Canis lupus familiaris: one gene and its partner. The protein of the gene in region 1 interacts with the protein of each later gene in a biochemical or structural test. Links are inferred from orthologs where the notes say so. Each region holds a gene or a part of one and is shown in the gene's direction. Other genes may lie near its edges.

The links. The genes of interacting proteins can lie anywhere in the genome.
Region 2: the proteins of DDX39A (region 1) and SARNP form a complex in vitro, tested with the Homo sapiens proteins (2 studies listed by BioGRID). The link is inferred for Canis lupus familiaris from reciprocal best matches to the Homo sapiens genes DDX39A and SARNP.

Annotation. Positions count from the first base shown.
Region 1 is NC_049241.1:48,593,777-48,601,527, forward strand, and holds the start of DDX39A (ATP-dependent RNA helicase DDX39A), read left to right. Parts: upstream 1-2,366; 5' UTR 2,367-2,384; intron 2,385-2,433; exon of another isoform or gene 2,434-3,397; 5' UTR 3,398-3,548; intron 3,549-3,825; 5' UTR 3,826-3,910; coding exon 3,911-3,915; intron 3,916-5,940; coding exon 5,941-6,152; intron 6,153-6,286; coding exon 6,287-6,414; intron 6,415-7,238; coding exon 7,239-7,331; intron 7,332-7,717; coding exon 7,718-7,751. UniProt on the Homo sapiens protein: Helicase that plays an essential role in mRNA export and is involved in multiple steps in RNA metabolism including alternative splicing. Regulates nuclear mRNA export to the cytoplasm through association with ECD.
Region 2 is NC_049231.1:550,723-558,591, reverse strand, and holds the start of SARNP (SAP domain-containing ribonucleoprotein), read left to right. Parts: upstream 1-3,291; coding exon 3,292-3,327; coding exon of another isoform or gene 3,328-3,567; exon of another isoform or gene 3,568-4,776; intron 4,777-5,443; exon of another isoform or gene 5,444-5,496; intron 5,497-7,172; exon of another isoform or gene 7,173-7,807; intron 7,808-7,869. Other genes in the region: ORMDL2 (ORM1-like protein 2), read right to left, coding at 1,741-1,743, 2,416-2,456, 2,883-3,567. UniProt on the Homo sapiens protein: Binds both single-stranded and double-stranded DNA with higher affinity for the single-stranded form. Specifically binds to scaffold/matrix attachment region DNA. Also binds single-stranded RNA. Enhances RNA unwinding activity of DDX39A.

The DNA of each region.
Region 1 (7,751 bases):
AGAGGGAGAACCAGGCTCCCCACTGGGAGCCCGATGCGATAACGGGCTTATTTGAGAGAGTAAGTGAGAAAGAGAACACAAGCAGGGGGAGCAGCATAGGGAGAGGGAGAAGCAGACTTCCCATTGAGCAGGGAGCAGACTTCCCATTGAGCAGATCCCGGGGTCACGACCTGAGCTGAAGGCAGGTGCCCAACCACTGAGCCACCCAGAGGTCCCTAAAATTATTTATCTTGATGACAGGTGCCCCCTTAGATTTTGCATGCCTCATCCTCATCCTAGAGCTGCTGGGCACAAAGGAGGAGCTCTGTAAGCATTATGGTATAATTATTACCTACAATATCTACCTTATATTACCTAAAGCCTCCCTCACAATTGACTGGTTTCTCTTCATTCGGTTTTTTGACCGAAGTTGTATCTCTGGTGACATCAGTTTTGAATCTGTTGTCTAGAATATTGACTCCAAGATAGCTTACACTAAATGAAGTTGAAAGGCTAGATCTTCCTGGAAAACTATGGAGGAAGGTTTAACTGTGTCAGAGGCTTAGGGAGGTTGGAATGTTGTGGCAGGATTATGTTTGACCAGCTTATCTCTGCTCCCTTTCCCCCACCACCCGAAATCCCCAATCAAAACACAGCTGAGAAAGACTGTCCGTACCAGGTATAAGCAAGGATTGGGAGTTACTGGGACTTTCACAGTGTCTACTTGGAGTGTAAAGCAGAACAACTGACGAAGCATGTCATGATCTGCTAAACGTGAACACACACATGACTTAGGGCCTACCATTCCATTCCTAGGCATATGCCCTGGAGAAGCACACTTATGTTTATGAAAATACTTGTACAAGCTTCATTGATAATGGCCAAACACTAGGAACAACCAAATGTCCACTAACGGGTGAATGGAGAAACGATACTGGCTATATTGTCATGTATCAACACCGTGGACTACCACTCAGCAAGGAAAAAGAGCTATCGATACATGCAACACATAGACAAATCCCAACAACAGTTTGTTGAGCAAAAGAAGCCAGGTACAAACGACAATCTATTGCAGGATTCTGTTTATATGAAATTCAAGATCAGAATTATAGAAATCTACATCGTCTTTTGCCTGGTTAGGGGGAAGGGGTGCGGTTCACCAGAGAGGGGCACAACAGGACTTTCTGCGGGGATGGAAATGTTCTATATTTTCCCTGGGCAACTGTCACTTGCCTGTCAATCTTCAAAACTCCGTGTACTTTTTCTTTTTACTATAACATTTACCTTAGTAAAGTACCGGGGGTAGGGGAGACAATGGGACGTGGGTAAAGTTGGGAAAATGTAATACAAGGGGAAAAGTAAAATTTAAAAAAAAAAAAAAAAAAAAAGCTTTATAACGAAAACCCTTCTGGTTTGGGTTTTGTGGCCTGAGCCTGGATGGCCACCTGCACACGATTTGACTCAGGACGAGACTCTCAGCAAAGGGGAGCTGGCACAGCCGGCGCAAACCGTCCCCTCCACGCTGGAGTCATTCCGGTCTCCGATCCTTTTCAGGACTCCTTCAGAGCCCCCACCCTGGAGAACCGAGAGGCCACCGCGGGTTGATGCTCCCTTCCAAAGCCCTGAATTCCACAGCCAGGCGTAGGAGCCACGCAACAGCAACGCGAGATACTCGCACAGGGTAAATCCTCCCCGGCTTCGGCTGCCAGTACTAAACATGGCGACGCCCACCAAGGGCAAACCGCCAATCGCGTGGCAGCGCACGGGCTCACGTCGGCCTCAGCCCAGGGCGCCTACTTTTAGATTGACCAATGAATCCGAGGCATGGGGCACGCCCCGTTTGCTGCTTTCACCAATAGCCTCCAGACGCCTCCTGCAGGACCCAATCACCGCTTCCGCCTCTCTTGAGTGAAAAGCCAGCCGTCCAGTGAGCAGACCCGCAGTCCGACGTAGGAGGCAGGAAGCGCTGCAACTCGTGTCGGGGCGCGCGGCCGGTAACCAGAGTCGGACGGCTTTCCTCGCAGCAGCACGCGGAGGCGAACGGGGAAGCAGGTGAGCGGTGGGTCTGGGGCGCGGGGGCGCGGTGCGGAGACTTCGGACCTGCGGGCGAGCGGGCGAGGGGAGACGCCGGGGGTTGAGGGGAAGAGGAAGAGGAGGGGGCGCGAGACGAGTGGTGGGGGGGCGGAGCGGTTTGGGCGTCAGCCGCGCGCGGCAGCAGCCGTTGAACGCCACGGCGCATGCGCGGCCCGGGGGGGGGGCGCCGGTGGCTGTTGGCGCGCGGGGAGTCATCCCGCTTCCGGGAGTGGGGCTGTCATGGCGGCCCGCGGGTCGACCCCGACTTGGCGAGGAATCCTCTCTGCTCGAGGAGACTGCCTAGGCCGTTTGGGGAGGGATTCGGGGTGTGGGTGTGTGTGTGGGGGGTGACGCCAGGGCCTGGGGTTGCGGTGGGAGGAACCCGAGCTTGTAGCCACGACAGGGGACTCTGTTGTGTTCTTGCTCTGTGTTTAGGGAATTCGGGGTTCCAGAGATTTAGAGCAGAAAAGATGTCTCAGAGGCCGACTCCGAGGTGGAAGTCTTCCCTGGAGGCACTTTGAGAGGGAATGGGTACCCGTGGGCGTGTCTGGATTGACACTTCTCGGGCGTCAGCCTTCCAGTTGGTCTGCTCCGGGGGCCTCAGCCGTCGCAGCCACCCCCGCTGGGTGGGACTAACCCCCACCGTCCTCTCCTCCTCCAATTTGTTTTGAGCTTTAGATTTTTGTGTAGCCACTTCCAAGAAAATCTTGTTCGTCAAACTCGGGCCGCCCCTTAATATCGCCCCCCTAAATAACAAAACGCCTTCTTTTGACCTGTATTTTTCTCTAAAATGCACCATCACCTCTTGGGGCACCCGGGTTTAACAGAGTAGGTGACTAGGCTTTCTCTGCCCAGGGATTACCCCAGAGGTGGCCCTGCCCTGTTGAATGATCCACCTTATTCTTCCCTCATAACACCCCCACTGTGGTTAATTCTTAGTGACTGGTTTTCCCTGTTGCTGTTCTCGCCCGCACTCATCTTTCTACTCTTGGAGTAAATTGCTTGGGGCAATTGAGTCACGCAACTCAAAAAATCTCATCAGTGAAAAATAATCTCATCAGTGATTCCCTATTAGGGAATAAAGCGTGAATGCCCTCGACTTGATCAGCTTTCCCAAGTTTGTCCTCTACCTCTGCTTCAGCCAGCCAGTCTTGCTCTCCATTCCTCACAAGGGCCTGGTACTTTCTTTGGGGCTGACCTTTCCTAGCTCCTGTTCTTTTCTCTGCTACCTGAGAAATAACCCCTCCCTGTTCAGATTACTTTTTTCAAGAATCAGTTAAGGATATATGCTTGCTTTAGCCCCTAACCTTGCCTTGAAACCTGAATTCTAATTCTATTCATTCAGCTATTGCTGTTGAGTGCTTTAGGCTCTGGGCTGGCAGGCCTGACTTTTAAGAGGGTGCTTTTCTACTCGGGGCTGGCAAGAGATGTCCTGGAGTCAGAGGCCTGACGGAAGTGAGGGGAATCCTGACCACTTTGGGCAGCAGAAACAGCAGGTACAAAGGTGCTGAGGCATGTTTGAGGCACAGCAACAAGGCCAGTGAGTGAGGGCAATGGAGGAAGTGAGGTTTGAGTGTAGAGGGGCGGTCGGTTCATGTAGGGTCTGATGGGTCATGGTGAGGATTCCTGAGTGTTCTGAGCACAGTGGGAGCTTGTGGAGGGTTTTGAACAGAGGGGTGACATTCTCTGATGTAACTTTTACACTTTGGGGAGAGAAGATGGAAGGGGATGGAAAAGGGGAAGACCAATGAGGAGACTATTCCCATAATCCAGGCACAGGGTGATGGAGCTCAAATCATCAACTGACCGTGGATAAACTGGTATGCCTGTACAGGGGAATGTTCAACTCTGACAAGGAATGAGGTACGGATGCAAACCACACAGTGAGCAGATGAATGTCAAAACATGCCAAGTAAAAGAAGCTGTATGAATGGTGGCATATTGTATGATTCCATTTATGAGCTGTCCAAAACCAGCAGATTCATAGAAAACAAAGTAGGTTAGCTGTTGCCAACGGGGTGGGGGTGGGAGGGAAGACAGGTAAAGGGTCCCGGTCTTTTTGACCTGACCGAAATGTGTGATGCACTCCAGCTGCAGTGGTCATTCCACATAGTTCTGACCGTTCTAAAAATATTGAAAACCAGTGAACTGTATGTACATTTTAAGGAGTGAATAGTAGGCTTGTGAATATCTCAGTAAAACTTCTAATTTTAAAAGAAAGGTGAAGGGGCACCTGGCTGGCTCATTCAGAAGAGCACATGACTCTTGATCTTGGGGTCCAGAGTTGGAGCCCTGTGTTGGGTATAGAGATTATTTATATATAAAAAGAAAGAACGGTAGAGGTAGCTTGAGACCAGTGAGGTGGCAGGGGTGAGAGGTGACCTGATTGTCCTGTTGGGCTGACTGGACTGGAGGAGAGAAAAAGCCAGTGAGAGAATGGAATTGCCTTTTTTGAGAAGCAGGTCTGCAGGAAGAAACAGAGGGGGGACCCCTGGGTGGCGCAGGGGTTTGGCGCCTGCCTTTGGCCCAGGGCGTGATCCTGGAGACCCGGGATCGAATCCCACGTCGGGCTCCCGGTGCATGGAGCCTGCTTCTCCCTCTGCCTGTGTCTCTGCCTCTCTCTCTCTCTCTCTCTCTCTCTGTGTGACTATCATAAATAAATAAAGGAAAAAAAAGAAACAGAGGGTTTTGCTCTGGGTCTTTTGAGTCCAGCTTCCAAGGGGAGATGTAAATGAGGCATCTGGGTAACCAGGCTGTTGTTGAGGGGATCTGGGTAACTTATGGCCAGAGACATAAGTTTGGGACCTCTCCACACAGATGTGATTAAAGCCCTGGGGCTGGATGAAGGCGCAGAGAGAATGAGAGAGGGAGGACCAAAAAGTGGGCCCAGGACCCTCCACATCCAGCTCAGGAAGAAGAGGGACTGCTTCACCACTTCCTTGCTCTGGATTTGGAGGCTGGGGTGGGGTTGGGAGGACAAAAGACCATAATCTCACTTTTGGGTCCCTTGTAGCTTACATCCAGTAGGTGCTGTGCATGTATTGGATTAAATAAAGCCAGGAGGTGAGCAAGTTTTGTATTCTCTTTACCATCTCAGCTCTACTTTTATTGGCTTGGGCCCAATGGGAAGCCTGTTCGTGAGAGTACTTAATTATTCCCTTGTGCAGACCACAAATAGCAGGAGGAGCTGGGGCAGGGCACACTCTGCTCTCTCACAGACTCCAGTCTCTCCAGCTTTCTGGCAGCCACATCTGGTCTCTAGGGTCCTCCCTTGTGTAGGCCCGTGGACTCCTTGGGCAGTGGTGGAGAGGGAACTCCTTTAGGTTAATGGGCTGAGGTGGTTCATTGGAGTTTTCCTGGTGGTGGCAGTGTGCTGGAAAAGCTTAGGGTAGGGGCTTGGTGAGTCTGAGCAGCCAGACAAGGCCGGGGGTGGTTTGAAAGGGGTAGTGTGGAAGGAGGTGTGCTGCAAGGGCCAACAAGGAGGATGTGCAAGCCATAGGAAAGTGTGGGGATTTCGCTCTGAGAGCAGAGGGAGGCCCTTGAGGTGAAGGGGTGTGGGCATGAAGGGCGGGGGGCCAGGGAAAGGTGAGGTGGTGCTCAGGAGGGCAGGGTGTGACCATGACAGGCTGAGGCTGGGAGGTGCTGTCCAGGTGGAGCTGGTGGGATATTCTGCAGGAATCTGAGGGTGGGTGGTAATAAGGGAAAGGGATCAGAGAGTGATGGCCATCAGCTTCATCATCTGGGTCCTTTCTGTGCCAGCTTGTAAGGTGGCTCCAGTGCCTTGCCTTTCTTGGGCCTGTGTTAACAGACTGCAGTGCTGGGCAGTCTTCTCCCTCAGTGACCCTCGATGGGTAGGTTTTCTCATTTGGCTCCCTCCTCTATTCTCAGCACCATGGCAGAACAAGATGTGGAAAATGAGCTTCTGGATTATGAGGAAGATGAAGAGCCCCAGGCTCCTCCAGAGAGCACTCCTGCTCCCCCCAAGAAAGATGTCAAGGGTTCCTACGTTTCCATCCACAGCTCTGGCTTCCGGGACTTTCTGCTGAAGCCGGAGCTCCTGAGGGCCATAGTGGACTGTGGCTTTGAGCATCCATCTGAGGGTATGCCTTCCTGCTTCTCCCTGCCAAGAACCACCTCTGACCACCCTCACTGTGGTCTCCTCAGCCACCTGGCGAGGAGCCTACACACAGGGAGCATCTGGTTTCTGGTTGCTCACGCGTGCTCTCTCCCTCAGTCCAGCACGAGTGTATTCCCCAAGCCATCCTGGGCATGGACGTCCTGTGCCAGGCCAAGTCTGGGATGGGCAAGACTGCGGTCTTCGTACTGGCCACCCTGCAGCAGATTGAGCCAGTTAATGGACAGGTGGGTGGGTCCCCTCCCTGTTGGGCCCAGGTTGTATGAGGCGTCAATAGCTATGGTTCCCCTCATTAAAAGTTCCTGTTCCTGTGTTATTTGTGGGCTTTTAAAATTAAGTATGGTACTTAGCTGTGACAAAACGATAAGCTGAAAAAGTGCCCATGGTTTTATTCTCCAGAGACATAGCTGTTAATTTGTCATGTGCTTTTCTAGATTGTGCAGGTTTACTCGGGTGAGATTATACTGCATGAGAATTTACTATCGTTGTCGCTGACAGTTATTTTCTCATGCATGAATTTTGTCAGAGGAGAATCAAGGTGCATTCCTGTGTTGTACTTTTGTCACATTGGGGCACACATCCGTGGGCTGTGTGTGAGTGCAAGAGCCCTTGTTTCCTTAGGGGTGACTGGGGGAGAGGGAGATGCAGTGGGAGGCTATGGTGTGGTCACAGCACTTGGCACCGTGGACCTGAAGGCAGGAGCGGCCTCCTTCTCAGGTGGTCAGGGGCCAGCCAGAGAACAGCCTCCCAGGGAGCCGTTAGTATGGGCTATCTCATCAGCTAGGTCTCCCTGTGGATCCTGGCAGCATGAGACAAGCCTCGTTAGCTGGAGGGACATAGGGAGTGAATGGCAGGTGGGGGGTGGGGAGAAGGTGGAGCACCTGGACTGGACCTTCCATTGACTGGAAGTGTGGGGAGCAGCCCGACAGGCACCCTGGAGGGGCAGGGGCCCAGTGGGCATGAGCCCCTGAGGAAGAACAGTGGCATGAGCTCTGGCTGAGACAGGACTTGGAATGCTGACTTGAGTGTCTCTCTTCCACCTGCCCTGCAGGTGACAGTCTTGGTCATGTGCCACACACGGGAGCTAGCCTTCCAGATCAGCAAAGAGTATGAACGCTTCTCCAAGTACATGCCCAGTGTCAAGGTAAGTCCCCTCAGGCTGGGCTGGGTGTGCTGCATGCACGGTCCTCTGCAGCCTTGTTGTCTCGGGTCTGGCTCAGCCAGTGTTTACCAAGTTTGGCTGCAGAGGCTGCCTTTGAGGTTTGCGGTGGTTTATGCTCCTTAAAAGCCTGATGAATTATGCATGGCCCCCAAAGGCCTGTGCTCGTCCCAGCCATGGGACTGCTTTCTACCAGACTCATGGCCAGGCTCTCAGGCCTTTCTGGTCCCCAGGCTCTAGGCCTGGGGGTTTGGGGGTTGCTGCTGGAGCACCAGCTGCTAGGGCCACAGGCCAGGTGGCCATCATTGTGGAGTGGGTACGAGCCTCTGGTGCTCAGATTGGCAAAAGCAACTTTCTCTCCACCCGTATAGGTGTCTGTGTTCTTTGGGGGCCTTTCTATCAAGA
Region 2 (7,869 bases), on another chromosome or scaffold:
GGAGATTATACAGAGTTCAGAGTGGGAACTCTGAATTTTTCCTCTGACATTCACCTTGTGGGTAATCACCCAACTTCATGCTTGTTGCTGCAGGGATGGCCAAAACTAATAATTTTTAAAAAGCAGACTCATGCCCTCTGCCCTTGGGTGAGGGGGAAGGATAAAGGGGCTCCCAGAAGCCCCCTTATGATCCAAGGGTTTGTATTTTTTTAAGTTTGTTCATATTTGTATGTATATATCTATTTAAAGCCAGGGGATTATCTTTCTATAAATATATAACTGGCAACCTGTATCTTCCCTCTCTTCTTTGCCCATATAGTTGGAGCCCTTTTTCTCACTTGAGCATCCTTTTCCTACTAAGTGTTAGCTGAGAATGAAGGGCACCTCCTACAGGACCAAGGGAGAGGGGATAAAAAATACCTTAGAGAAGTTTTATACAGTAAGTTGCTATTCCTTGTTTCTTCCCTAGCCTTATAAGGACATTTCCCTACCCTTCCTGCTGACCAAACTGTAGCCATATCTGGAAAGAAAAAAAAAAAGTATCTTTATTATAAGGAAAATACACAGCAAAACAGAGCTGGAAAGTGGTGTGGGTAGAAGATCTAGAAAAAAATCACAAAACAAGCTGCTCAGTTACCAAACGAGCTGTTTAAACATGGCTTCCTGCTGTGAAGGAGAGTGATTGAGCCCTTATCTTTCCCACCTTTCCTGATTCAAAAAAATTTGCTCTTAGGGCTGGGCCCCGGGAGCCCCATTTTCCAATCTGTTCTCTTCCTGGAGTTGGGGAAAGGTTATATAGTTCTCAGGCTTTCAAGATACAGAAGACAATACGGAGAAGGAAAGGATGTTCTAGCCCTTTGGTCCAGTGTTATCCCCAGCCCTATCCCTCAGTATTTGTTGATGCCAAAGAGACGAACCCCATGGAATTGGGGTAACTTAGGCAGCAGTACGCTAAGCAATGAGGCTGTGTTGATGATGAAGTGAGCAGCATCATACTTGGTGTAGAAGCTGGCCAGGAGGTAGCTGGGGAGAGAAGAAATGCGTTGAGTGAAGTTGGCTTTCCCTATTCATATTTATGATCTTCCAGTGACTTCTATCTTAAATGACCAGTTTTACTGCGTGTAGTCCTAGAATATCTGAAAGTATTCCAGCTAAATTAACAGTATTTACTTTGGGGTTGGGGAGAAAATCAGCACCTTTAACCGGAGATTTAGAAGTTAGTGTTTTTGAATTGTTAACGACATGGCAAATGACAACTGAAGCCCATATGACTGTATGCCTATATGAGAGTTCCTTTGCTTCCATTCCCCACAGTTTTCACAGATCTATATCAGTCTGGCTTTCTTTATTCACTTCCTTTGGAAGTGTAAAACCATTTGGTTTTACTTGGATGTTTTTTCAGTCCTTTCTGCATTCCCATACCACCAAAGAGGCAGCAAGGAATGCTTGACTACTATTTCCTACTTTTTACTGCTCTCCCTAGATTTAGACCATACCATAATATCTTCAAAGGGTCTAAGAGAATAGTCTGCTCTTTTAAAGCTTTCCGGGGTGGGGGTGGGGGGTGTCTGCACCCGACACTTGGAGCATTTCCCATTATCTCCCCCTGGACTCACAGTACAATAGGAGAGATGCTGAGGAATTTGCGGGAGGAGGTAAATTGGAGCCCGTAGTCCATCTGTTCCCAGTGTGTCAGTAGCCGAGCCTTCCCTTGGTCAGGGGTCTCAAAGGGTGTCCCTTTCACTGTATGTAAGAAGACATACATAGCCTAGGAGGAGGGAAGGGGGCAGTGTGAGGAGGCAGAAAATAGTCCTTCAGCCCAGGAATTATGCGGAGATCCCAAAAGGAAGACAAATGATTTTGTTTTTGATTGGGAAAGGCCTGGGTTGGGTATAAGGGTGTGGTTTAGTGCTCACCAAGTTATGGATGACGTTGGTCAGGGTCCAGACAACAGGTATGCTGAAGAAGGGGATGCTGAGTAGAACCACATGCAGCAGTCCTACCAAGATGATGTAGGCCAGCCAGATGCCCCGGCTATTCATCACGCGAGTGTTGGGGTTTACTTCGCTGTGTGCCACCCCCACATTCATCCTACCACAATGGGGGATCAGGCAGGAGTCCAACTCAATTTCCTGTCAACCTCTCTTTGAGTTTGTTCCCACAAATTGTCTCCTGAGTAGTCCAAATCCCCTGAACTCCACTGGGAAGAGCTTCCCCACTGTGCACGAAGGAAAAACTGAAAACTTGGGGAAGAAAATTTAAAAGGCGAGACAGGCCCTCTTTACTCTTACTCACTGTGATCCTTAAAGTTCAACCGTAACCTGAAGGGGTGAGCCTAGGCTTGGGGCAGGGAGTCCTGGCAGCAGGGGAAACCAGGAACGCGGGGTGAGCAGACAAGACTCCTTTAGTCCGCACCTTCCTTGGGGGCTTGCCGTCGTTTCTCTCATCCCCGTGGCCTGTAAGCAGGCCGCGTCCCAATCCCTTTCTCAAGAGCGGGGCGCTGCCCAGTATTTCCCCTCCTGGCTTTTCGACGGAGCTAGGAAGGGACCTGCGTGCAGCATCTCGAGAGATGGAGCCCTGTCCCCGATTCCAGGGGCGGCCCTGATCATCTGAACTTGGCCCTTTAAAATCGTGCTTGTCGACGCCGAGTTGTGAAGCCGATCTGGCCAGCCCGGCTTTCCTTAAAACTCCCCAAACCCTGGTGTTGAGCCCGCCCCGCGCGCCTCCCGGCTTCCCTCTCGGGCGTCGTCCGTCGGTCGGCCTCGGGGCTCCCTCAGGAGCTCCTCTCCAGGTTCTTAGCCGACGCTCCAGGCTTTCCCGCCCCCGCTTCTCGCCTCCCCGCGTTTCTCCTCAGCCCCCTTCCAGGTCTTGGGGGCCCCTACCTGCGGCTTCCCCAGCGGGTCCCACTCGAGGCGCGGCGTCCGCTCCCACACCTGCGGTCTCCAGGAAGCCACCGCCCCCGCCCAGCCGCCCTCCCCCTATTGGTGGAACGCGGTCAGCGCTGCCGCCACCCATTGGCTGGCAGTTTGCGACGGGGCCGCGCGATTGGCCGCCGTTTCCGCCGTTCGGACCGCGCAGGGCCCGCCCCTCCCCCGCCCCGCCTTCGGAGAGAGCCGGGGGAAGCCGCCGGCCCGGCGAGCGCGACGTCCGCTCTGGACTAATGGGAGGGGTTGGTAGTGTGAGGCGGGAGTAAGAGCCACCGCGATTGGTCCGCGTGGCTCGCGGCGGCCAGGCGGGAGCTCCGGGAAGCGGAGGCCGCGGGCGGGGGTGGCGGCCTGGAGGGGCGGCAAGATGGCGGCGGAGACGGTGGAGCTCCATAAGCTGAAGGTACCGTGAGGCGGGGAGAGGCTGCCTTAGGCGTTCTGGGGACTGCGTTCTGCCGGCCGGCTTGCGCCTTTTACTACGTGTCCGCCTTGCCGGCTTTTCCACTTCGCTTCCTGGCTCCCGCCGTAGTTCTTTTCTTTTGTGCCTCTGGTCTTGCCCACTACGCCTTCCCGAATTTCCCACTTCTCCGTATGGTTTTGCGGCATCTTTGCTATTTCGGCTCTTTCTTCGCCCTCGTATCATCCGTCCCTTCCCCGCCGGGCGTGCAAGTGCTTCCAACCTGCTCCGGTCCCTTCTCGGTTCTCGTCAGAGGTGCATTACGTCAGTGGTCCCCCCTTTTGCCCCGCGCTGGAGCCAGGACCCCTTTTTTTTTCCTGGGTCGACGCGTTCCCGTCCGTTTTCCCAGGCCGGCATTCCCGTCCGCTGATGACGGCAGCTTTGTGTTTCTCCCCGTCCGCCTTTCGGACACGAGAACGCGCCCACTCCTTTTTTTTTTTTTTTTTTTAAGTGGGGTTACGCCCTCGGAGCTAACTTTGAAATCTGAGGAGAGGCCTCAGGAGCTAGGCCTCTCAGACGCCAGCGACCTCGGGGACCTCGGGTCGTGAAGGCACAGCACCTGGGATCCAGCAGTCCTCGGATTCCCCGCCGCCGCCGCCGCCCCCGCCCTGTCCTTACCAGCGGGAACACTGCTCACTCTTAACTGTGATGTTTTGGGAGAGCCCTAGGTTTCTCTCTCTCCTTTTCATCTCGCGGAGGGCCCTGCATCTCGTGGTGTCACCACTGGGTGACACTCAGTCACAGGGCGGTTTTAAATGGTGTCTTTTGTGAATCTTGGTAGCTTCCGCACATTGGGATGATTATTTTCCTGAAGAAGAGAATAGTTTATTTTAGGGTCAGTTGAGAGAATATCTTGATTACTTGTCCATTTGCGGCTTCACAAGTAGTTTTCCCATCAGGTACTTTGGTCCCATCATCCTGGGAACCTTGGACAAACCAGGCTGATTTAGCCAAAGCTGTAAACTGATCCTTTAAGACTTGAAGAGCTTTTACAAAGGAGTAAGGAGAATAAGGGTGGGGAGGGCACATGCTCGTTGGCAGCAGTTAGCCTTTCTGTGAAATCTGATTTTTCACCCATGGATTCTGAAGTGGATTAGTGGGTTTTCACGTATCCTGGAGTTGCTGTTAAGTTGGTAGCACTGAAACATGTGGGTTATATCAGTGGTCTCCTAAGTCGAGAAGTGAAGAAAATTGAGTAACCACCTCTGTTGTATGTGTTAAATAAATTATGTTCTGTGAAACTGTTAGGTATGTTATAAAATATACACAGAAAAGAAAGTTGGCTTTTTTAAAGAGTTTATTCATTTATTTATTTCAGAGAGGGAGAGTGTGAGCAGAGGGAGAGCGATAAACAGACTCCAGCCTGAGCGTGGCGCGGGGCTCAATCTTACAGCCGTAAGATAACAATCTGAGTTGAAATCTAGCATGGGACCCTTAACTGACTGAGCCACCAGGTGCCCTGAAAAGAAAGTTTTGAGTGAATGAGACAAAAAGGAAATATGAGTAGGAGATTTAATATTTTCTTTTTATTAATTCCACTTTTAAAATACCCGGAGTAAGTCACTAGTCTTGAGACTTGCCTTTATGGATTTTATGTTGGTTTATGGAGTGTTTCTTTCCATAAAATCTGATGGCCTGAAAAGGATGCACCCTTTTTTTTTTTTTTTTAAAGATTTTATTTATTCATGAGAGACACAGACGCAGAGACATGGGCAGAAGCAAGCTCCCTGTGAGGAGCCGGATGTGGGACTCTATCCCAGGATCCCAGGGTCACACCCTGAGCCAAAGGCAGATGCTCAACCACTTAGCCATCCAGCCCCCCCCCCCTTTTTTTTAAATATGTATTTCTTTTTTAGAGAGGGAGGGAGGGGGAGATGGAGAGAGTCTCAAACAGACTCCCGGTTGAGTGGGGAGCCAGACATTGGGCTCAGTCTAATGACCCTGAGATCATGACCTGAACTGAAATCAAGAGTCGGAAGCTTACCTGATTGAGCCACTTAGGGTGCCCCTGAAAAGGATTCACTTTTTTAATCACATTTGCTTGTCTTTGCTTTTTCTCTAGAGCACTTCTTAACCTTTTGGAGGTCACAGATATCTTTGAAACTCTGATGAAAGGTATGAACCCTCTCCCCAGAAAAAGGCATGTACATATACTTTGCATGCGATTTGAGGGGCTTCATAAAACTACTTTGTAGCCCTGAGGAGTCCGTGGACCTCTGGTTAAGAACTTATGCCTTTAATTCTGACTTCCAGGACAGTTAATGTTTGGTTCCACTGTTGATCTTGATGAAGTGATCCTGACTTTGGGGTTGACAAGAGTTTTATCTCTTTTTTAAAAACTCTTTCCAGTTTTATAAAGAGCTTTTGTATGGAGTCTCGGAAAAGAACAAGCTTTGAAATAGGGAAAAATATCTGAATTCTTATATAAGTCCACATCAACAGCACATTTCTGAAGTTTTGTAGAAATGCAGTCATTCTAACACAGTTGGAGAAAAAAAAAACAATGTGGGTGGAAATGTCTTGAACTGTAGTGGTACCAGATTCCTAGTCAACGGTGAAAAAAGGGATTACTGCTGAGGAGAGAACCACAAGGGTGTATAGTGTCAGAGTGTTGAGAACAGTGAGACATTTGTAATATTGATGCTCATTTATGTTGGTGGTTGAAGATAGTTTGGAAAAAAAAAGGAAATGAACTGTGTGGCCATAAATGTAGAATGGAGTGATACTGAAAAGCATTTTAACTTGTGTAAGGTGGTTTGGTTTTTGTCATGTGGGCAGAAGATGAGGAGCCTTTGAAAATTTGAAAGGAAGAGCTGATGCAATCAGTTTGTATTCTTTTGGCAGTAAGGAGGATGGGGTCTGGAGAGAGAGATTTTACCAGTTATATTTTTATTATTATAATAGTTACTCTGCGGCTTAAAACCTTTTGATTATATTCCTACCAATCTCTCCAGTTTCTTTTTTTACACTTCTCATCACAGTAGCTTTATTTCATTTCATTCCTCAGAATAGCTGTATTCATTAATTACTAACACTATGTGGCATTTACTATGTGGCAAGGTCTGGTATATACACACACACACATATATATCAACTGATTTAATTTTCATAGTAACCCTGTAAGGTAAATGCTTCTATTATATCCATTTTTTAAAAATGAGAAAAATGGAAGCTCGGAGAGATTGAGTAACTTGCCTTAGTACACAGAGCTAATAATAAGTGGTGACTCAAATCCAGGTAGTCTGTCTCCAAAGTCATGTTCTTAATCACTGCACTACTGTCTTTCTTTACCTCAGAACCCAGAACAGTTACACATGCTTTAGGCTAAAGTGCTCCTGCCCGCTCCATACTCCCGTACCTTTGTCTTACTCAGGCATCAGTCAAATATCATTTACCCAAGGAGCCCTTAGGTAGGATAAGTTCTCCATATCCACACACATGATCAGACCACTTTTTAAATGCTTTCATAGGACCCTGTTCTTTTTTTTGTATTAAACATGTAGGGATCCCTGGGTGGCGCAGCGGTTTGGCGCCTGCCTTTGGCCCAGGGCGTGATCCTGTAGACCCGGGATCGAATCCCACATCGGGCTCCCGGTGCATGGAGCCTGCTTCTCCCTCTGCCTGTGTCTCTGCCTCTCTCTCCCCCTCTCTCTGTGTGACTACCATAAATAATTAAAAAAATATATTAAAAAAAAAAAACATGTATATGATCATTGGTTGCTTTATTTTCTTACTAGATTTTAAACTTCATGTGGGCAAGAACTCTTTCTCTTTTTGTTCATTTTTTTTAGTGTCTAGGATAATGCTTGATGGAGTGGGTGCTCAATCACTGTCAAGTGAGTAAACTTAGTAAGACCCGAAATAAGCTGGTGGATATTAGAATAGGAATGAATTTGAAAGAAATTTGGTATATAAAATTGTAAGTATAGATGAGTTAGATGTGGGAGGAATGAAAGATGAATCCAAGGTTTGAGTAGTCTAGGTTGAGAGGAGAAGCAGCCAGTTTTGTGTAGCAGAAAAGATAAGTTCAGTTTTGGGCTTAAGTGTCTTTGAGATTTGCACTTGGAGATGGCTGATAGTCAGTTGGAAATGTGGGCCTCCTTTTCAAGAACTGCGAGCTGATAGTAAAGGTTTGGTACATATTCAGAAAATATTTATGGAGTGCCTACCATGTGCCAGCTACCATAGGTTCTCAACGTATAGCAATGAACAAAGCAGACAAAATTCTTGTCATGGAGTTTATATTTTACTGGGGGAAAGCTCAGTAAATAAGTAAAATTTATAGTATGCCAAATAGTGATAAGATCTATAGAGAAATATAGGAACAGTGTTTGGTGGGTGTTAGGTGTACAGTGGGATTAAGGGTATTGACATTTTATTTTTTATTTTTTTTAAAGGTTAATCAAGTTTTTTTTTAATTTTTATTTATTTATGATAGTCACACGCAGAGAGAGAGAGGCAGAGACATAGGCAGAGGGAGAAGCAGGC